Linked DNA regions of Caenorhabditis elegans. Changing the gene in region 1 together with any one later gene gives a genetic interaction. Each region holds a gene or a part of one and is shown in the gene's direction. Other genes may lie near its edges.

Region 1 (3,531 bases):
CCTGTCTGAGTTCATTTTCGTATTCATCGAAAGATGTCAGCACTTGGACAACTTTTTTGAGTTCAGTCTGGAGATATACCATATCTTCCTGCAAACTTATAGTTCGATGAAGTCTTTCACTAATAAATTACCACAAGGTCCACATCAGTAAATTTTCGATTCTCCAGATGATCCAGTTTAGTCGGAATACGATTTTGAATCATTTGAAGAGCAGCTTGCTTTTTCATGTAAACATCCTGATTTGAAGTGATAAGGTTCCGCAGTGTGGATACTACAATTCTGATTACTTTTTCCTTTTGACAATTGCCCAGAATTCCAGATATCGTTTGAATAAGATTCCCAGACAAAGCCACTTCTGCAGCATGTCCGTTGAAAGTGAGAAGCCACATGCAGAAAATTATTTGGTACTGAATTTGAAACCCGCATTTTCGAGTCGAATATAGAGCATGAGTCAGTGAGTCGTAGCCATTGATGTTGACAAATGAAACTCGATATGGATCGAATCTGAATAAAGTTTGCATGCATCTAACTGCTGTAACAATGTAGTCGTTGTTTGTTCCTCTATTCATCGCCTCTTTCAAAGATCCCATGCAATAGTCAAGTTCGTCTCCAGATAATCTGAAATAGTTAGAATTAATTAATGTATCTCAAGCGTATCCAACTTTATATTTCCAAAAACAGCCATTTTTGTGAGAATCGAGAATGTAATATGTACAATGTATTGATCTTGACGATGGAGAAGACCCATGAAAAAAGAAAAGGGAGATCTTTTCAGAAGAACTGCAACGTCTTCAAAAATAATTGTTCTTGTGACGTCTTCGCGGAGCATATCATCGATCAGCGTTAGAGTGTACCTGACGTAATCATCTTTCGAAATCTGAAAAAAAGAAACTAATAATTTCGAAATAGGCTTATGAAATATGATTTCACCTGAGACATCAGATGAACAAAAGCGTACACAGCCTTTTCCTTGAAAACCGAGAGTACTGTGCTCCGTTCTGCCTCGTTTTCTGCTTGTTGATAAGTCACGATAAAGTCGTAATCACTTTGAGCAATCATTCTTGTTCTGAAAAATTACTACGTAATATGGAAGATAGATAGTAAATATACCTCGTGAAAAGTCCCCAATTGGTTTTCATTGCTCGAACTTTGTCGGCTTCTTTTTGAAAATGAGTGCGAATGAGATCCTGATTCTCCCCAAATACCATTTTGAAACTGAATCAAAGAAAATTAACTTTTAAAATGAGGACAAACACAGAACGTGGAAAATGTAGAAATGGAAAATCACGGTGGTACAGCAGCTAGATGAGTGCAAATGCGCTCTACCGAACAAACCCAAATTTGACCGGTTAGGAAATTTTCAATCAAAAAAATTTTCAATAGAAAAGATAGAGAATTTTCTTGCGGCCATTTTTCATATGCATCGCAAATTCAAATTTGGGGTTAGTTTTCGAGATAGCAGCCAATATAGGTTTTCAGACTGAGTATCATAAACCAAGCCATCTAGTTTCTGTGCTACCATGAAATCCAACACGGCGATGCGAACACGCTCTATTGCGAAAATTCAAGTTTTTTTTTTCAAAATTTCTCAAAATTTGATCATGATTTCGAGCGGTATTTTTTAATTTTTACTTTTTAGTTTCCGCGAATTTTTGATAAGTAAATTTTTTCGCTCACTCTTTGTTCATTTCATTCAGATGTTCCATTTCAAGGATTTTTTTCCTTTTTATTTTCTTTTCTGCCGGTGCTCCCAAGTTTTCTTGATTTATATTCTCTTCTTTTTCCATCATCATCACAGTTTGTAAATTTATTTTTCTAGATTCAAAATGGCTGACAACGATTTCCTGAGCGGTGAAGCAATCATGGTGTTCAAAAAGGAAATCCTTGACTCCCACAGCGATTTTACTCGATCGCTTTCACATCAGTCAGCATCCCCCGAAGCATATGATCAAGAGAATGTATTTTCTCAAGACTTCCAACCGTTCATGAAACAAGATAAGGAGACGCAGAATTCGGCTTCACAGCCAACTTCTGAACAATCGTTGGCCAATCGTGATCCTTGCACAGTTCCCGATGACCTTCGTGAAGAAATGATGCGTCAAAGGAGAAAGGAAGATGCATTCAAGACGGCTCTGTGTGATGCTTACAAACGCAGTCAGGCATGCTCATACGGTGATCAGTGCAGATTTGCTCACGGCGTCCATGAGCTTCGGCTTCCAATGAACGTAAGTAATCGTTGATCCTACAAATTTCTTATTTTATGACTGGAATTTTCAGCCTCGTGGGAGAAATCATCCCAAGTACAAGACGGTTCTTTGCGACAAGTTCTCGATGACTGGAAACTGCAAATACGGAACCAGATGCCAGTTCATCCACAAAATTGTCGATGGGAATGCCGCGAAGCTAGCAAGTGGAGCTCACGCTAATACTTCATCCAAATCACCAGCAAGGAATGCTGCCGCACACAATCATTCACTCTTCGTGCCTCAGGGGTCGACAGATCGAAGCATGGATCTCAATCAGAGTCTACCAATCCGTCAATCAGATCTCGTTCGTGCGTTTGCTCGTGCCACCCGTTTGGACGTATCTGGATACAATTCTACGGCTCAATTGGCACAATATTTCGAAAGCCAATTCCAGCGGATTCAGCAGCTCTCCTCCCATCATCACTAGTTTCTCTCGTCGAAATTTCTGATCTTGACTAACATGTACTTTCTATTTTTTACTTATGGATTATATAATCAAGTCCAATAACCTGGTGCAGTCCCAAGGACATCATCAATAATTTTCCCCATTTTTGTCGTTCTTTTTCTTCTCGAGTCCGACCCCAAAATGTTGTATTCACAGGCTTTCAAAACTCACCCCCACATTCCCACATTTGTATCTAGTCTGTATATTATTGTTATCTTGAATTTTACCAATGTTTCGTTCTCAATTGCATAGCCCTCGTTATGTGGACTCATAAAATGAAATTTCTCGTAATCAGCATACAATTGTTTCAAGTTTTACGGTGCCTCTGCGGTATTAAAAAGTTCATAGAACCAGCTTACGGTACCATCATTTCTCAAGATTCTCGAGCTTTTTTAAAGACGCACGGATTTATTCAGATGGGTCTCGGCGCAAGAAAAGTTTATGGTAGTTTTTATTTTTGAGGCTCTCATTTCTCAATGAATATACCCTTCATTTTTCTGTGAAAATTTTCTTAAAATGAAATAAACTAATTGAGAAATGCAAGAAAAAAAACGAAGAGGCAGCCTCAAGTATTCAAAAAAGACTTCCATAAACTTTTGCGCACCGAGACCCATTTGAATAAATTCGTGTGCCTTTAAGAAGGCGTGCAAAAATCTTGTGAAAAAACAATAAAAATTAATGTTTCCAATATTTAAAGCGCTCATTTTTATATTTGAAAACAACTGAATATTTCGTTTAAGGTTTATTACTTTATACTTTCCATCTCACAAAAATTGAGATGAGTACTGTAACTGACTGACGTGTTTGTGTTGTGTGTGAGGAAAATCAACTAGTTTCACA
Region 2 (6,838 bases), 5.0 Mb from region 1:
TTTCGAAAAAAAAAGAGCCAAATTTTGCTAAAATCTAAAATTTCGCACACTTTTCTTTGTCACAGCTGCTGGATTTTTGTTTTTCTGAAATTATCACCATTTAATCCTTGTTTTGGTAATTTATCTCGCCGGAAATTCGTTGATGGAGACAACTTCTGGGCCGCTAGGCATCCAATTTTGATCATTTTTGGATGCCTATCGGCCCAAAAGTTGTCTTAATCAACGAATTTCCGCGAGATAAATTACTAAAATAAGGATTAAAGGGTGATAATTTCAGAAAAACAGAAATTCAGCAGCTGTGACAAAGAAAAGTGTGCGAAATTTTAGATTTTAGCAAAGTTTGGCTCTTTTTTTTTCGAAAATTTGACCGGCCATAAAAATGTTTGGAAATTTTTTGTGAAGTCTCATTATGAAATTCGGTGGTTTTGGACCAGTTTTAGTCTATTTAAGCAAAATACCCACAAACTGTACTCCCCCTTTAATGTACACGCCTTGAAACATATTGGTGCATTTTCAGACAATTTTCGAGTCAAGCCAAAATTGTTGCAGAAATTTTCCAAATGCTCGAGCAAAAAGCTTCAAGAAATCTCAAAAATGGAACAATCTGCGTAGAAACTTTACTATTTGCATGATCTTTATGTTTCGTCGGATACACGAAAATTATGAAAATATGGTTTTTGACAAAAAACAACAAAGCCAAAAATGCAGAAAAAAACGACATAATGCCGTCATAATGTCGGCATTATGCCGTTATGCCGGTCATTTTATTTTTCGGCATAACGGCATTTTCGGCATATGCCGTGAATTTTCAAATCGGCATAACGGCATATGCCGTGCTCCAAAAACCGGCATTATGCCGGCATCGGCATATGCCGAATGCCGAATGCCGCACAGGTATGGCGAGAATGATGTGAATATAGGAGACCCGAAGAACTCGGGGGATGTCCAATTGGGGGGATTACCAACTCGGGGGATTGGCCCCGCCCACAGAACCGTGGCTTGCAATACGCCCATTTCTGCAACTGCCGCACGGTTTTAAAATTATTTTTTCTTGTTATTTCTCGTTCTATTGAGAAAAATACAGTTTTAAAACCGTGCGGCAGTTGCAGAAATGGGCGTATTGCATGCCACGGTTCTGTGGGCGGGGCCAATCCCCCGAGTTGGTAATCCCCCCAATTGGACATCCCCCGAGTTCTTCGGGTCTCCTTATTTACATAATCAAATTTGCAGCAATTTTTTGGGATTTTGCAAGCGATTTTCTTTGCATTTCCCGTGATTTCGAACCTTCTTGGCATATTTTTTAAAAGGAATGTTCATAGTTTGCGGAAAACGGAAATTCAAATTTCTCGCGGTCTGAGGCGTCCATAGTGCAGTTTCTTCGCCTTTTTTCTATCAAAATTCAAAAGTAGGTGGGGCCTGCAGTTTTTCGCTTTTTCATTGCTCAGCTTGAAATTTTGCAGCCTCTGATTCGTTGGAAACGCCCAATTTTTTGAAACTGACCAATTGCGAAGCGAAAAACTCCCTCGTTTTCCCCTCTCACTGTAGACGCCTCGGACCGCGGGAAATTCCCGTTTTCCGCAGCCTATGGACGCACAATTATAAATTTTTTTCTTAAGAATCTCCATTAATCACCGTTTTGATAGTTTTCCGCTGTTTTCCTTTAAAAATGCATATATTTCTCAAAAACTAAACAATTCGCGCTTCCGTCATTTTGGAGTATCGTTGTAAGGCGCGACTTTCGAATGTGTCCTCGATCAGCTTGAATAACGTCTCATTTTCTGTTTTTCTTTTATTAATACTTGTCAAAAAGTCGATTCATATTCTAATTTCATTTTCAGAGTTGCTTACTTCTCGCGCTTGGTGCCAAATTATGCTGCCGAGCTCTGGTGAGTTTAAATAATCGAAAATCAGGTCGAAAAATGCATCGAATTCCAGGTGACTCCAGCAAAGAGAACTGTGCTCCACAGGACGGTATCGTTGAGAAAGAAGGACCAAATAAACCTTTTAAAAAGAAGAACGTTAAACAACGGAATGCTACTCCACAAGGCGCGGGTTCCGAAACCTCATCCAATGCAGAAGACAAGCAAGAAGAAGCACCGATTCTAACGAATGCTCCCAAAGACATTATTTCGATGCAAATACAGGAAACGAAGGCATTTCTTAGTGAATATGAGGAGTTCGTTGACACAGATTATCCAAAAAGTATTTTCATTAATTAATTCCAGGCAGTCCATTAAATTTTCAATTTTCCAGCTACCTTCACCCACGTGCCACGAAAGTTTCTGAGTGTTTCGCCATTCACCCCGATTGAAGCCGACGCGGAAGGAGAGTTTCTTCCAGATGCTGACTCAAAATGCGTGATTTGCCACGAAGAGAAGGATAAAACCGGAAAATCTGATTTGATCACATGTCATGGATACATCAATGGAGAAATGGACGACGGCAAGCGTCTCTTGGGAAATATACCAATGTTTCCTTGTCGTAGTAAATTTCACGCGAGTTGTATGATCGTAAGCTATTCGATTATTTTTCTTCATCAAATATCGTGTAAACTTTTAGAATTACAACAGTGGCGGCTTTCACTTTCAATATGCAGCCCGACTCGAATGCCAAGCAAGACTTCTGTGCCCTCTTCATTGCTGCAATAGTTGCAATTTGGACCATCACAAGCAATCGGCTTATGTTGGAGATATTGCAGAATGTGCTCTCTGTCTCCGCGCTTTCCATTTGACGTCGTGTTATCCATCAGGTGGCCGAGATTTGAATGTTTCGATAACAATTGGTGGGAAAGTGGAGAAGTTCGAAATGATAATTTGTCCAGCACACTATCTACCTGGTGCTGATGTTCAATTCTACAATAAACATAAAAAAAGAAAAAACGCCGTCACTGTTGTTCCGAAAGCGGATGTTACAATGAAATCCCATATCAAAGCGTGTTGCGTAATTGGATGTGAGAAATCTTCGAATTCAAAAACAATCATGTGCAAGACTTGTTGCCGATCGTTTCATTCTGGATGTCGAGAAGTGGAAACGCTGAATGGAAAACCGATACCAGACGATCAATGCGAATCGTGTGTTTGTGGAGATCCGATTCCGCAAAATACATTGATTCTCGCGAAGTGGACGGACAATTCGTGCGTTTATAATATCAGAATTATCAAATTCATGTATTTTCTATTCAGATTCTGGCTAGCATTAACACTCGATTGGTACAAGTACCCTACTGGAAATCGTGGTAATATCAACTTTGAACGTCTTGGATATACTGTTGTCCAGTGGCTGATACCCCAAGAAAATGATAAAGAGAAACAACCTCTCATGTCAATTGTGCCGGTCTCGGATATCGCCCGTCTTACCAAGAATTACTTTTCGTTGGCAAAGAATTCGACGCTTAGAAACTTGTGGGAAGAGAAATATGAGGAACAAGCAGATACTGCGTTGAAGAGATGCCCGTACGTGTGTAAAACTGTATTTGGAAGACTGAGAGTGAGTATTCTACTGATTCTTCAGGAAATATCTAATTCGGACTATGGTTTTGTATTTTTCAACGGTTTGGAAAAAGGCTTTTATTCAGCTAAAATTGCGGAACCGACGAAAGTTAATATCTCAACCAACGGAACATTACTTTTAAAAAATTAAAAAAACAAAAAAGTTCTGAAATTTGTCAGATCTGCAATATTTGAGATTTTAGCTGAAAAAATGTCATTTTTTTCCAAAATTTTGAACCGTCTAACTTCTTTTTGGAGGAAAATGAGAATGTCTCATTACGAAATTTGGTAGTTTTAGACCATTTTGGGACAAAAGTGCAAACAGTGCTGCAGAAAAATTCAGCTAAAAATTGCCGAAAAACTTAACAATTATTTTCTTACTTTTAACCGATTCAGATTTATTTATAGCAATTTCTTCATAATTCCAGACATCTGTGTACTACAAATGCGAACCAAAACTGGAAGAGTATCACAACAACGAAGTTTGCAATTGTGAAGGAGCTGACCGCTGTACAAAGCTGTCGTGTCAATATCTCGCCGATGATTATGAATGTCCCCCGAGTTGTTCGAAAAAGGGCGTTTGTCATAATCGTCAAGTTTCCATGGGAATAGTTAGCGAGAAAATCAAACTGGCAGCCACTTTGTGTAAAGGATACGGTGTCTTTGCGAAAGGTCAAATCGAAAAAGACGAATACATATGCGAGTACGTTGGAGAAATAATCGATAAAGCTGAAAAGAAGAGGCGCTTGGATTCGGTTTCAATTTCGCGAGATTTCCAGGTAAGGAAAAAGTTTTTTTGCGATAAAAACACGAATTTTTACTTTTTCTTTTAACCGAATTTTAGAACAAAACGTTCTGAAATTTTCTCAAAAAAAAGTTACGGCGATTCAAAGTTTTGGGAAAATGCCTATTTCCAGCTAAAATTTTATATTTTGCCAATTGTCATTTTCAGAAAAAAATACGAAATTTGGTAGATTTGGGCTATTTAGGTCTAAGAAGCAAAATATCAGAGTTAAGTTATCAACGTATAACTTTCCAAATACTCTTTTTTTTCAAGGCGAACCATTATATGATGGAATTGCACAAAGGATTAACCGTGGACGCTGCCAGATACGGTAACATCTCCAGATACATCAATCATTCTTGCGATCCCAACGCTGCATCTTTCGTTACAAAAGTGTTCGTTAAGAAAACCAAAGAAGGCAGTTTATATGATACTCGCAGTTATATTCGGGCAATTCGCACTATTGACGACGGCGACGAGATCACGTTCAGTTACAATATGAACAATGAGGAGAACTTACCAGACTGTGAATGTGGAGCTGAAAACTGTATGGGTACAATGGGAAAAGCGAAACGCGAGAAACCGGAAGTGGCTGATAGTTCCGAGAAAGCTGCTAAAAAGAACAAATCGTCCAAGAAGAAATCTGTAAAAAATCAGAATAGAAAGAGCCAGGAGGTACCAACTTTTTTTCTAAGTTTCAACATTTTGATTTTATTTCTTATTTTCAGGCCGGAAAGAACGGAACCGCATCTAAGAAATCAGAAATTTCTCCTTCGAAACCATCCACAAGCTCCGCGTCGAGCACTTCCTTCGTCCAACAAGCATCATGGCCAATTTCCCAGAATAAGAAAAATTTAAAGGTATTTTTTGGAGATTAAATCGATCAATTGCTGCCAGCAATGATGTCGGTTTTTCGATTTTTCACTAAAATCGAAAATGTTCGTTTTCACGAAAAATATCTTTCAAAAATTTTGTAATTGTTCTTCTTTTTAGAGAGAAATTTAAAAAAATGTTTTCTTATTTTATTCATCAACATAAACATAATTTGATTTTAAAAAAAAAGAACTTTATGGTTAATTTTTAAAACATTTTTTTCGAGTTTTTTCGGAAATAGAAAATTTTAATTATTCGATTTTTGATGGCACCCTTGGTTGCTAGAGTTAACTTGGTCTAAATCGAATTTTCAATTCAGGTACATAGCCATTAAACATAATTTGTTTTTCAGAAGAATTCCAATCAACCTGTAGCCGACACCGGATCAACATTGAGTACATCTACAGAGTTGAATTTCCACGAAAAACCGCAAGAACTCTTGAGCCCTGTTTCATCGCGATCGCGCGCAGCTTCATCTTCAACACCACGGGCACAAAAATCAAAGGTACGATAATCATATTAGTATTAATATCGATTATATTCGATTATATTCACAGAGCCGTCGAGATGATGTGGAAAGTGAAGCGCCACCTGTGAAACGAGCTACGCCATCATTGCAAACAATTCAAGAAACCGGAAAAGCGATAGAGTTTCCTGCAACCAAGTCGGCTATCACAAAAGCACGAGCGTTGTCGACACAATCAGTTCCATCACCTCATACTGTGGAGGTCAAAGTTAGAGCAATATCTACTCGTGGACGAGTTCAAAAAGAGACAAAACGGTTTGAACCGATTTGAAAAGTGAAATAATATGCTGTCTCGCCCAATTGAACTCTTTCCAATAGTCTTCCAAGTACTAAATTATGATTTTACTTCAATTAGTTTCAATCAACAGTGCCCTCATTCTTTTTAATCGTACTATGAGTTTTTCCTGGACTGTCGACACAATTTTTGGAAACGCTGAAATTCATTTGACCAACGTTCAAAGAATAACGAAGACTTTCCTATTCATCTTTTTTGAAAATTATTTTCACACTAAACTAGGGGTTTTATTATTGCTTTAACCATTGCTTTCATTCACTTGTCATTTTTTTTTCCCTATGTGTTCTTTCGTTCTTGTTACTGCGTCCCATCATATCGATAAATACGACTTTTTTTTCTCATCTGTAATAAATACCTTTGCAAATTACAAAACAGAGTTAAGCGCTGCTTTATGACGATAAAGAGAAACTGGAGAAGATTAAGAAGAACACAATGGAACGACTTGTTTTGAAAAAAGACATTGGAGTCGATGAATCACTGCTAAAGATTTTGATTCGGAAGTAAAAAAATGCACATTATTGAGAAACCACGTGTCATTTAATTTCCCTATGCACAATAACAAAGGATCTTCGGATAGACTTCTTGAAAGAAGACTGAAACCATTTGAGCGGAAGCGATAATTCATTCATTAATTATTTTATGTTCGCTTGTTATACGACAAAATTCTAAAAATTTCAGTCTTGCACCATTTGCCAATTCAATAATGCACGCGTTCTTTGAAATATGGCACTGTATATGGGCTTTACTTGGATGCTCATTCAATTTAATGCTCATTTACATGGCTATCTATAAATCACCGAAGACAATTCGTTCGTATGCAACTTTGATTATCAATTTTGCTGTTACCGACTTTTTCGAGTGTGCTTTGGATT
Region 3 (4,362 bases), on another chromosome or scaffold:
TCACACAAGAATGACTATTTTAATCAAATGTTGGCGATAATCCAAGTAATTAATATAAGGACACAACCCAATTTTCTAAAATTTATTACTAGTACACTTCTTGGCGACAAAGGAGTAAAATCTGTCAAGTGGCACCTTTAGGCAAACAATATTGCGAAAAGCCTTTATACTTCTTTTTGACTACTTTCGCAATCGGTCACGCGTCTGTACAGATTTGATAGGAACTTTGAAGAAAATTGGGCATTTTTCGTTAACAAAAAGCAATAGGAAGAAGAACAGTCAAAAAACAATTTTAACACGGAAATCAGTTGTTCTACGATATTGTAAAAGTTAATAGAAAAAAAAATGATAGTAACAAAATATTTATGAATTTTCGTCTAGATTCTAACAACGAATATATAAATTGAAATGAGAACTTAATTTCCTTTAAAAATTAATTCGATTCACTGTTGGTGGAGTTTAAGGCAGATTTTTTTTTCGAAAAATTGACTGTTTTTTTTAACTCACAGAATCATTGTCAACCCGATTTTCGGTTCTCTCTTTTTCAATACTATGATCATATGATCTATTTAGTTATTATCAATAAATACAGACATAAATAGTTTTTAAAAAAATTATTTTTTAGTTTTTTTTTTCAAGAAATTTCGTAACTTTTATTTTCTCCACAGATAACAAAGCAAACGAAGTTTTTTGCTACGCCTCAATCAATTGTCGACAGTAAATACAAGACGTCTTCTCTGTTTCAGACTCACAAGGTGGCGGTGGTGGTTGCTTCCGGAATCTGTTGTCTCCGTCGTCCAGTTTATTTTGAAACTCTGCCATCATTTCTTTGACGGTCCTAGACGCCGGTGGAGTATCATCAGAATTTTTGCGATGGTTCATGTCATATTTCATACAGGCGATCTGAAAATAACTATAGCTCGTTCGAGATAACATTTTGGCTAAAAAATTGAAGAAAAAACGATAACACTAAAATATTATGAAATTAAGAATTAGTAATGAACGGGAACAGTCACAGCATGAGAAAAAGGCAACCGCTAGAAGAACAGGTTGAAGCAACAAAAAATCACACAAGACGCAGAGAATCAGGCATTGGAGACGCAGGGATATGGATGAGTCAGCAGCCGACGAAGACAAATTCGAAATAGCAAAAATGAAAGAAGTCTACGGAATTCACAAAGTGGATCTTTTGATATAAGGACAATTTTACTAAATAATAAATATGAATGAATACCCCCAAGTTGATCGCTCTGAAATCTGAAAAAGACCACAAAAACATTTTTTTTAACTGACAATAGCTCACGTAGCAATATAGGATCATACAAAAAAAATATACAAAATTATTAGTTTCGCTCCTTGCGAAAAAAGCCGAGTACAAAATCTACTTAATCCCGTTCGAATCCACTCCGAAATTGGAAGTGGTACTTCACGACAATACAAAATTTAAGCTGGCAACTGTCTTTTCTATCATATTCCCAATCGAAATCACAAATACCTCCCGGAACTTTCGAACAGAATCCAAAATGAGAACAAAAAATTGTAATAAAAAAATAACACTTTAAAGGTGCATGAGGTTATGCGCTCGTTGGGTCTCGCCGCGCTTTTCACCACTAATGCAATTTGAACGAGAAATGCGCGCGAGCGGCCATATTTTAGTTTTTCTGTTGTTTTTATTGTCATTTTTTTCCTTTTTCACTGCAAATTTGATAGTTAATCGACTTTTTTATGTTTTTACTGTGAAGTTTTTATTTTGTTATATATTGTTTCTTGCCTTTTTCCCAAAAACCTGAATGGAGCACACGAAAAAGTTCAAATCATTAAATCTTCACGGGTTTGATCGAAGTACAGAGGATTACGGAAAACGACCTTTTGTACTAACTGCCAAGCTACTTGAAGATCAGAAGAAAGCTATTTACGGATGTGCATTCAATCAATACGCAGGAATAGATGAGGAACAAGCGGTTGCAACTGTCGGAGGAAGCTTTGTAAGCGTTATTTAGCAGGAAACTGACAATGAGGTATAAATATTTGTTTTTCAGCTTCACATGTATTCTGTTCCCATCGACATAAATAACATTGAGCTGCAGTGGTCTTGTAATTTTCCTACCGATAAATCATCAAAGGTCGAACGAGAGGAGTCGCTCTTCACTGTTACCTGGTGTTACGACACATATGAAGCTGAAAACGACCGAAATCCCTTTAAAGTTGTAACGGGTGGAACTTTGGGTCACATTTACGTTATCGACTACGTCTCGAGGAAGCTGTCGAATGTAAATAATCAAAAATTACTGAAATAATTTGGAGTTTTAGCGTCTTCGGAGTGTTGGATGGGAAATCAATGACATTCGTACGTGTCCTGCCAACTCAAATCTGATTGTCTGTGCTTCATCAGATCAATCTATCCGGATTCATCATATTCGAAACGAAGCATGTCTGATTGTTATTGGGGGTCTCGAGTGTCATGCTGGAACAATTCTTTCTGTGGTTGGTTTATTAAATTTACTTACGTTTCGAATTTCTCATTTTAGGATTGGTCAACCGACGGAGACTTCATTTTATCGTGTGGATTCGATCATCAACTCATGGAGTGGGATTTATCTGTGAAACAAGTAAAGGAACATTTGGAACGAGCGTGCAAAGCTCTTCACCAAGATAAAATAAATGTGCTAACACAATCACAAGATATTCCGTATGTTTCGAAAGGAACAATGAGGTAAATCAATTATTCAGCTAACATTTTCTAGTTCCTTCTAGTATTTGATCAGTCCTTAACGCGAAAATTGTTGCTGTTGTTGTATATAAAAATATTTTTGAAACTTGAGTTTTGGATAAAAGACTGGTAAATAAAGAGACCAGGGCTATCAAATCATAATGTAATTCATTTTTGTATTTTTAGAAAGTCTGCAGTTTCTCGCAACATTCCCGACAAAGAAGAAGATCAATTGCTCGAACTTCACAGAGAGCTCATACCCCGACCGTACGTTGATTTTCGGCATCCATTACTTTTTTAAAGTTGTTTCAACGAATCTGGTTCTATCGTTTTCTTCTTTTTCAGGAGCTGCCTTCTTCCAATTTATACTCCATCCTCCGTATCAACTGATATGCATTCTGATTATGTGGATTGCATTCGATTTCTTATCGGTACTAACTACGCACTATCAAAAGGATGTGGCAATGAAAAGGCAATTCATTTTTGGAGATTTGGGCCACCTAAGGGAGAAGTTGAAAATCGCATTCATGGAAATGTTCTCCGTCCAAAGTCGTGTACAACGAAATTTCGTACAATGAATGTTCCGAGTGGTTCTGCATGGTTTATCAAATTCGCCGTTGATCCAAGAAGACGATGGCTGGTGTGCGGTGGAGCTGGTGGTTCTGTGATGTTTTTCGATTTGAGAAATAATGAAGAAACCAATCCGTAAGTAAAATATCAAGAAAAATAATTTCTGAGATGTTCGATATCTCTTAAAAATTATAGAAATATTTTTGCTGTGATTACCAGTATAAATTCCTGTTTTTTTTTTTACAGGACTCACACTTGTTCCGTTGGCTCACGTACAGTTCGGCAAGCTTCTTTCTCTACATGTGGCCGATTCCTAGTACTAGTAACTGACGAAGGATTTGTTTGTCGATTTGATCGTGTATCTGCGTCTGTCGACGCTAAGGACCTGGCAAAATTTTGAATATCATTCCTTCTCACCTTCAATTTTTTATATCTCGTTGTGATTTCATCTTCGATCATCTTCAGTGGATTTTACATTACAATTTTGCAGTTCCTAATGTCATCCCCAACCTCCTCTAAGGATTATTCTTCACCTAAACATAGCTTTATGTGTGAGTTTCGAAGAGATTATTTTCGTTTTCTGATTATCTAATTTTTCTAATTCAGTGACAGTCGACAGCAACTTACAAAGTGACAAAAAGAAGACGTTTTTGAATGTTCAGTGAGTTTTGAAAATTTTATTAGCTTTCATGTTATTACCTTTTTTATTTCAGATCATCTTCCTCTGCTGGGTCAACCAAGCACTGTCAAATTCCAATGTCAAAGGACGAGTATTTTGAAACACGCGGGAAACTCGACTCTGTTGATGTTATCGATCAATTCAGACAGCGTCAGCAATGAGCATTTATCGATTTGTCTGTACATGCAGTGTTCCTCACCATTCTCACTCTTGTCTCATTCCCATTCTTCTCTTTTTTTTCAATATTTTTTATTCTTTCCTTATTTTTGTCCGTTTCTATTTCCCGATGCTTGTTAATAAAATGAATTATTTCAGAGTCGCACCTTCTCACGCCAACCAACAAAATGACAACTGGAAACAATGATTTCTACTATTCAAACAAATACGAAGATGATGAGTTCGA
Region 4 (7,775 bases), on another chromosome or scaffold:
ACAATTAATAAATTGTTTAATTTTGGATGTTTGTAGAGGTTTTTCGTGTTTTCTCATGATTTTACGGGAATCCTTTTGATTTTTTTGGTTAAAAACAAATTATTGGTGGTCTATGAATGCATTTTTCACTGTAAAATAGTGGAAACCGCCGTTATCCTCTTGAGAAAGTTCTAAAGTTCCATAAATTGTTCAGTTTCGCGGTTTTTCATTGAATAATTTGTAATTATTGTTTTTCGAACGTACAATTATCAAAAGAAAATCACGAAAAATCGCCAAATATTCCAAAATTCGATCGAATGGAGGTTTATTCTTCATTCCCTTCAAAATAGATTTATAATAATCTCTTGTTCGAACACTCCCTCTTCCCGCAGCGAAAGTGTAATAAAATGTCCAATAATCTAGCTAGATCTAGTTCAATAACTCATCAATTATATTGCCCTTTGATGTAGTTTTATAATGTCATAAAGTGCACACTTCTAAGAGTGGGCAGCTAAAAAATGCACTTGTTGCTCTTTTTTTCGCACCCTTCATACTTTTTTGGATCGATTTCTTTCATTTGATATTCATAATGACCTAATGTTTCCGCTGTACACTGTATCTGCACTCACGTGATGGGTCTCGCCACGGTAATAATATTACAAAATGATTTTGCCTATGCGTCTTTGAGTTTACTGTAGAAAATTAGTAATACATTTTTCAGCTCTACTTCTTTCTTCGCAGATTATTTTTCTGTGAGAACAAGAATACACAATTTATCCATTTCCATTCAATGAAAATGTATGACAGCGTGATTTCGATAAATCAACAATTGAATCCTTTTTCTTTAAACTTATAACTTCAATTGACATATTTTTAATTTCATTGTAAAACTTGGAATATAATTTCGTTGGTTTCAGTCTCTCATCCGTTCCAAATTATAATTCCAAACTCTCGAACGCGGAGACATGCGCACGCTCCTCTTCCTTTCCCTCGAGTAGGCGTCGCTCCTTCTCTTTTATTGATTTGTCGTGCTCTCCGCTCTTGTTTGAACGCGACCAATATGACTCATTTTTTTAATATTTAAAGTTTTTAAGCACATGCATAGTGCATTGCTCGCTTTCTACCTCTACGCGTTGTTCATGGCTCTAAAAACAAAGAGCGTACATTTTTTGAAATTCTATTTAAATAAATAAAATTATTATTGAGAATTCATCCGAAATATCTGTGAAATATCAAGCCAAACATATTTTTTATAATCCTAAAGTTAATAAAATTAAAATAAAGTATAGTCATTTTGTAAATTTGCTCAAAATGACAGAAAATGGACCGTAATAACCAAATATAGATGTTAAACATGCATAGAACTTTTCTAAATTTTTTTTTTAATTTTGCAAAAAGGTTCTTACGGTACATTTTTAATCAACCATTAAGTTTTACAAATCTTCATAGGTATAATTTTTTAATGAACAAATTGTTTGACTGGCAATAACCACGCATTCCTTCATTCGATTCCTTATCGAACCAGCCGTCTGTCTGAATATGATGTGAATTTCTTTTTTATTCTGCGTCTCCTCAATTGACATACTCTCTACTCAGTTTCCCAGAACGAAGTCTCTCTCATCTGACATTATATCTTTTTTGCGCTGTTCGTTTCACATTTTTCTTTCTCTCTCTCTCTCTGATTGGCGATTTCGAGATAAATCGATAATCTCGATCTTTGCTAAACTATTTTAAAACACAAAAAATCATTGCAGGGTATGACTCCGGCGACGGCAGAGGTGAAAGTTGGAGGGAGAAAACGGAAGAATGGTTAGTTGGAGAATAGGACATTTACTGGAATTTACAAAAATCAAATTCTTAAAATCAATTTTTAATTAATTTTGAAACATAAATCCCAATCGCGCCGAGACCCGCGTATTCTAACACAACGCTCACCTTTAAAAATAGTTAATTTTTTATTCGAGAAACTCGGCCTGAAACTTTTTATTTAACTTCTTGTTTAAATTGTAATTTAAACTATTATAATTAAAGTTTTTCCTGTTTTCTTAATTTTTCCACCAGTGAAAATTATTTTCGGCAATTCTACAAAATTACCTATTGTGCCATTTTGTTCCATCATATTTTATTACAAAACAGTGTCAAAAAATAGAAAATTACTTGAATTATCTAAAAATAACATTTATTTAAGCTGAAAAAATTTGAAAAATTGTTCAAAAATGGCTTGAAATTCGATGTTTCGTTTAATCAGCAATTGGCAACTCTCAGGCCATTTTTGAACACTTTCCCAAAATTTTATGCTAAAATAAATGAAATAAATGTTATTTTCAGATCAATAAAGTAATTGTCTATAGTTTGAAATTAATTTTTTTTCTGTCAAATTATAGTAATTTTTAGCATTTTTGAATTAATACTTTAAGCTTATTTTTGCAGATGAGCCGGTTTTTATCAAGACAAAACAATCGAGGTCAGCTCGTCGAGAAGAAGAAAAAGAAAATCTTTTGAACAAATCTCTTCCGTCAACTCCAACTTCATCAGAGGCCGGAAGTTCTCGGGAATCTTCAAATCCAGTCACAAGCTCCAGTAGACGAAAGAATCCACCTACCAAATTAGAAAATATTCAAAAAACGTTGCCGACTTGCAGTGACGGACGTTAGTTTTAAAAATCATTAATTAAAATCTCAATTTTTCTATTAATTCACATTTTTTCAGTTGAAATTCGCAATTATGTGAAAAAATATGGATTGCCGGAAGATAACAAGTTTCTCGTTCGTAATGTCTTCGACAAACAATTATTATTTGGAAAGAAATATGTGTGTAGAAGGCGTGTGATTAAAAGCATCGATGAATTTTTCCCGCGACTAAAGACCGATGCGGTTTGTTTGAATTTTTGATGGATTCATTTGCAAAATAAATTTTTCTTTCAGCACAGAGAAAATGGTTTATATAATTTCTGTACTCTACAATTCATGAAAATATCCTCCTGGGGAAGTTCGATGGATGAGAAGATTTGTTAGTTTATTTTTGAAAATTTTGAAAAATTTGAAACGAAATCTCGATAAAAACACTTAATTCGAAAAAGACCAACAGAAAATCACTTTGAACTAAAAATATCTATTCAATATTGATTGAAACCATATTTCACAAGAAATAAAAGTCTTTTTGAAATTTGGTTTTAAAAAAAATTATTTTTTTAATTAAAAAAGTCAAAAAAAATTGAAAAGTTCTGATTTGCATTATAAAACAAAAAATGAATTAAACTCAATAAATATATAGCCAGAAAACGCGAAAATGTCGGAATTCGCTTTTTTTTTCAGTTTTTGCAATTTCCTAAAATCACACAAAATTTATAAAAATTATTTTTTTCCTATAGTTTAAAGCAAATTTAATGATTTTGAAATGTTTGAGGTTTTTTTTCAAAAAGTAAGAACAATATTTCCAAAAAAATGAAATTATTTTCTAATTGTAAATTAAGATTCAAAAATACACACACACATAGTTTTTTTCGGTTTTAAAATTATTTTCTCATTAATTCATTAAAAAAAAGAACATTTTCAGATGTTACTTCTGCTGCAATTGTTCAAAGCTACGTGATAATTGTCGACGATAATGATTCAGTCACCTGCATTGAAAATGGAATCTCAGTTATTCCAATGGCGAATAGAACGTTACCATCTATCTCCTATAACAGTTCAAATGTAAAAAATATCACTTTGACGGGCCCTGAACTGAAAAAGGCAAAAAACGTATATCTCGCAGTGATTGTGAAACGAAAAACACCAAAACTTGGAGAAAATCGAGTTGGGACAAGTGAGTGAAATCATTTCTTTTTTTTAAATAAAAAGTTTCTTTTGTAGGAGGAAAATCAACTCGAGCATCATTCGAAACGGCTGCTTCCTCAGAAAACTTTCAGCAACTTGTTCGTTTTGGGTGCACTTTGATGTATGATAAGGATGCTGAAATTAACTGCCTAAATGACGGAGTTCAACGTATTATCTTACTGTAAGTCGCTTTAAAATTATAAATGCAAAAATTTAAAAACTTAAAAATTCAAAAAAAATTAAAATACTTTAAAAGTTTTTTTTTCCAAAATTTATCCGAAGGTGAATCTATAAAATTAAACTGGCCTGCTAATTTTTTAAAAAGGGGGTTTTCTGAAGATTTTGAGCGAAAACTGTTGTCAAAATAAATAAAAAACTGAAAAACATTTTTTTTCGAGAAACACGCGCTCAAATTGACGGGTATACGGTAGAAAATATTTTTTCAAAAAAAATTGTATAATGAAAAATATTGCTCTTGATTTTTCCAGTGATCGAGAAGAAAAGCCAGCGTATTTGAAAATTTTCGGGAAGGCCGATGAACCGGAACTCGAGAATGCTTGGATGAATAATGTTAAGCATTTGGAGTTTATAAGCGATACAAATTATAACAAAGAGGTAACGATGAAGAGTTAATAAACTTTTATAAATAATTGATTTTTTTCTACAGGATTCTCATCTCGCTCGTCTAATCTTCTCTTCAAATACTCATAATTATTTCGATAGACCGGACATTTCAAAATTCTCTCCATGGCAGCCGCGATCCAGAAGGACGACACTAAAATCTGGGTGAGAAATTCGATTTTTTCTCTTTTTTTAATTTTGTTTTTATCTGGTTTTTGCACGACCGTAATCCCGCACGCTTATTGTGTTTTCCATCATTTTCAGAATCTCCGTCGAGCCAGGAACGAGTTGCGATGAGGATTGTGGATCGCAATATGAAGAGTTCGTTTTTGATCCCTACCACCTGATTTTTTGTTTGAATATCTAATTTTTAAATCACTAAGTTTGCTGGATTTTTTCCCTTACAGAATTTCTAATTTCGGGTGCATTTCTTCTTTTTTCTTAGTTGGCTGTAATTGATACCTTCCAAATAGCTTGTCGTGATTTTTGAAAACCGTGAAGCTGCATTTCAGAATTTTTGAGTTAAAACTGGGGGGTTTTGTCCAAAATTACAGAAGGCAATCTGCATACACCGGATAGAACTTCAAAAAAAATCATCTAAATTTTATAGTTAATCACTCACTACATTGGATATTCGCGGAACTTCATGTTTCTATCCAACCATAGATCATCTAACTGTTCTTCAAAATTGTTTAGAAAATATAATTACAGTACAATCACTCTCAAGCAGTTACTCCTTGGAACGAAAAAGCTATGCGGAAGACGTAAGAGACATTTGACCCGACTCACTTCAAGATGGCCGTGTTTTTCAGTCGATCCGACGAAGGTAATTCTTAAAAAACTATAATTTCAAAGCTTAAGTGCAATTATTTCAGATCAATTCATATTTCAATGAAACTGGTGTCACTTTGCTGGAAAATTCGTGTTCCTACCGTCCTGGAACTCAACGAAGCATTCCAATAAAACCTACCCGAGTGATCAGAGTTAGAGAAGAAACTCCAGTTTCCGTTCCAATTGAGGTTATTACGATTGAAGATGATTCAGATGATTCACCATGTTTTTCTGCGAGAAATCGAGCACCAGGTGGAACACGGAAATATGGATTAGATTTTATACAATCTTCGGGTCATATGCCATATATTCGTTATGTTTATATGAACAGGTAATTTGATTTAATGCAATCCAGTAAAAAAATATATGATTTGCAGAGCAAATGACTTAGTGCCCCAGCTGAATGGCGAAGAAAATGGAAAAATCGAAGGTCTTATGGAAGCATATCCGATGAATAATGCTCACATGTATTCAGATATTGAGTTCCTGAGAAAAGAAAAAGTAAGAATTGTTTTTAAAAAAAAGACATAAAAGTTGTAATAATTTTCGCTTTTTTCACTAAAATCGAAAATGGAATTTTTTGTTTCGATTTACTGATTTTTGCAAAAATAAAACAAAACTTTAAGATTTTTCTTTTTTCCGATATTTCGAAAAAATTGCATAATTTGTTTTCTTTTTAGAAGCAATTTGTATGTATTTCTGAAAAAGCGAACAAAATTGTTTCCTGAAGGCGAAATCTATTTTTCCCTCAAAAACCCAAAAAAAAAAAAAAAAGTGAGAAAGGAAAAATTGAGAACCTTTCATTATATTTTTTGAATTTTTTGAATTGACTCCAAAAACAGGAAAAAAAAAACAAAAAATCCCAGCCTTGATTACGATATTAAAAATTTTCTATTGTGACATGTTGCTCCAACAATTTGTATTTAAAATTAATGTCAAAATATAGAAAAACACTCGAATTATCTGGAAATAACATTTATTCTGGCTGAAAATTTTGAAAAAGTACTCAAAAAATGTCCTGGAAGTTGCTGATTGCCAATTATCGAATTATTGAATTTCAGGTAATTTTGAACACTTTCTCGAATGTTTTAGTTGAAAAAAAGTTATTTTCAGATAATTCTAGTGATTCCTGCACTGAACACTAAAAAAAACTTGTCGCCGCAAACAAAAAAAATTAAAGCAAAATTACAAATTTCAGTTGAATCTTCCGAAGAATGCTCAAAAATATGGCGAAATGACAATTCTTGACTATCCACTAACGAAGACGGAAACGGACGAATATAATAAAAAGATGTCTGTGATGAATGTCAAAGATTTTGCGGTTAAACCCAGAAAACCTATTCCAACAGTCGGAAATACCACTTTAAGTTTGGATTTGGAAGGATGTCCTATATCGACATTTTCAGAAATATTCTTCCCAAGTGGAAAAACTGAACTATTCAATATTCTATGCAGACAGTAAGTGTTATAATATTAAGTCATATATTAAAACCCAATTTTTGAAGTTTCTACTCTGAAGCTGGACAACGCCCTGGATGCTTCTCAGCACAATGGAAATCTAGAGTTTTGGTGAGTTTATTGAACATTCAGGACTAGATTGGCAAACGTACGGAATTGCTTAGTACAGTATTTTTGAATCAAAACCTTTAAACTTCTTTTCAACGAAAATGAAAATTATTTTCAGAGTCTTTGATTCTACAAAAAATGAATTAGCGTACTAAAATAAGCATCTCAACACTTTTGCCAAGATTTGCCTTAACTTAGAACGCATTTTTGAATTTTTCATAAATAATTTTCAGACTGGCTTCATCAACAAATACCATCAGTACATTTTCGACATGAAATTGAATTCTTTATTCGAGAAACAAATAAATCTCATCGCTATGGTCAGCCCTGACTGGAAATTAGAAGATTTTGAATTGCCCATGGTTCGATATAAGCAATTGAAAAAAGAATGGAAAAATCGCCAACGAGATATACCATCTTCTAATTAGATTATCCCCTTTTTTCCTTGTATCTTTTTCTTTTTGGAAATCCTGTGTTTAATCTCTTTTCCATTTATCAATCAACTATACCAAATCGTGGTGGGTGGCAATTCTACTAAATGACATTAAAAATTAGTCTGAAAACATAGAAAATAATTTGATTCTTCTGCAAATAACATTTGTTTCAGTTGAAACACTTGAAAAAATGATTAAAAATTACCTGGAAGTTGGAAATTGTCGAATTTTGCTATTCGGCAATTGGAAACTTTCAGACTATTTTTGTGCAATTTTCAAATCTTTCAGCTGAAATAAATGTTATTTTCATATTTTTAAATAAATTAATTTTCTATTTTGAGACTAATTTTTAATGAACAATATTGGCCAATTTATGGAATTGCCAAAAGTAATTTCCACCCACCGCTGATCCCAAAAATACTACAATTTTTAGCACCTTTTGACCCAAAGAACGTCGTACTTCAATGATCTTCCAGATTACACGAGTCATCACTAAGTTTTTCTTCATTTCTTTTTCTTTCATTTA

The links.
Region 2: of pos-1 (region 1) and mes-4, a change in one rescues a mutant of the other (synthetic rescue), as found in Caenorhabditis elegans (one study listed by BioGRID).
Region 3: of pos-1 (region 1) and mes-6, a change in one rescues a mutant of the other (synthetic rescue), as found in Caenorhabditis elegans (one study listed by BioGRID).
Region 4: of pos-1 (region 1) and mes-3, a change in one rescues a mutant of the other (synthetic rescue), as found in Caenorhabditis elegans (one study listed by BioGRID).

The regions. Positions count from the first base shown.
Region 1 is NC_003283.11:8,412,268-8,415,798, forward strand, and holds pos-1 (RNA-binding protein pos-1), read left to right. Parts: upstream 1-1,817; 5' UTR 1,818-1,826; coding exon 1,827-2,225; intron 2,226-2,277; coding exon 2,278-2,673; 3' UTR 2,674-2,987; downstream 2,988-3,531. Other genes in the region: vha-18 (putative V-type proton ATPase subunit H 1), read right to left, coding at 1-88, 132-618, 663-877, 931-1,066, 1,111-1,208. UniProt on the Caenorhabditis elegans protein: RNA-binding protein that coordinates cell fate specification and differentiation during early embryogenesis.
Region 2 is NC_003283.11:13,432,546-13,439,383, reverse strand, and holds mes-4 (Histone-lysine N-methyltransferase mes-4), read left to right. Parts: upstream 1-1,838; 5' UTR 1,839-1,870; coding exon 1,871-1,886; intron 1,887-1,935; coding exon 1,936-2,202; intron 2,203-2,253; coding exon 2,254-2,510; intron 2,511-2,559; coding exon 2,560-3,134; intron 3,135-3,182; coding exon 3,183-3,486; intron 3,487-3,916; coding exon 3,917-4,267; intron 4,268-4,545; coding exon 4,546-4,947; intron 4,948-5,000; coding exon 5,001-5,132; intron 5,133-5,497; coding exon 5,498-5,650; intron 5,651-5,702; coding exon 5,703-5,942; 3' UTR 5,943-6,334; downstream 6,335-6,838. Other genes in the region: srd-17 (Serpentine Receptor, class D (Delta)), read left to right, coding at 6,670-6,838. UniProt on the Caenorhabditis elegans protein: Histone methyltransferase. Dimethylates 'Lys-36' of histone H3, a specific tag for epigenetic transcriptional activation. Plays a central role in early development and is responsible for all H3 'Lys-36' dimethylation until about the 40-cell stage.
Region 3 is NC_003282.8:8,509,647-8,514,008, forward strand, and holds mes-6 (Polycomb protein mes-6), read left to right. Parts: upstream 1-1,637; 5' UTR 1,638-1,790; coding exon 1,791-1,985; intron 1,986-2,039; coding exon 2,040-2,270; intron 2,271-2,310; coding exon 2,311-2,484; intron 2,485-2,528; coding exon 2,529-2,713; intron 2,714-2,896; coding exon 2,897-2,977; intron 2,978-3,055; coding exon 3,056-3,415; intron 3,416-3,526; coding exon 3,527-3,680; 3' UTR 3,681-3,776; downstream 3,777-4,362. Other genes in the region: FYVE, RhoGEF and PH domain-containing protein tag-77, read right to left, coding at 753-894; C09G4.4 (uncharacterized protein), read left to right, coding at 3,777-3,831, 3,887-3,941, 3,994-4,120; cks-1 (Cyclin-dependent kinases regulatory subunit), read left to right, coding at 4,304-4,362. UniProt on the Caenorhabditis elegans protein: Polycomb group (PcG) protein. PcG proteins act by forming multiprotein complexes, which are required to maintain the transcriptionally repressive state of homeotic genes throughout development.
Region 4 is NC_003279.8:4,995,108-5,002,882, forward strand, and holds the start of mes-3 (Polycomb protein mes-3), read left to right. Parts: upstream 1-1,731; 5' UTR 1,732-1,736; coding exon 1,737-1,788; intron 1,789-2,409; coding exon 2,410-2,628; intron 2,629-2,688; coding exon 2,689-2,852; intron 2,853-2,903; coding exon 2,904-2,988; intron 2,989-3,534; coding exon 3,535-3,786; intron 3,787-3,833; coding exon 3,834-3,978; intron 3,979-4,285; coding exon 4,286-4,412; intron 4,413-4,464; coding exon 4,465-4,583; intron 4,584-4,682; coding exon 4,683-4,739; intron 4,740-5,129; coding exon 5,130-5,244; intron 5,245-5,293; coding exon 5,294-5,580; intron 5,581-5,626; coding exon 5,627-5,750; intron 5,751-6,447; coding exon 6,448-6,707; intron 6,708-6,754; coding exon 6,755-6,818; intron 6,819-7,048; coding exon 7,049-7,243; 3' UTR 7,244-7,775. UniProt on the Caenorhabditis elegans protein: Component of a Polycomb group (PcG) complex. PcG proteins act by forming multiprotein complexes, which are required to maintain the transcriptionally repressive state of homeotic genes throughout development.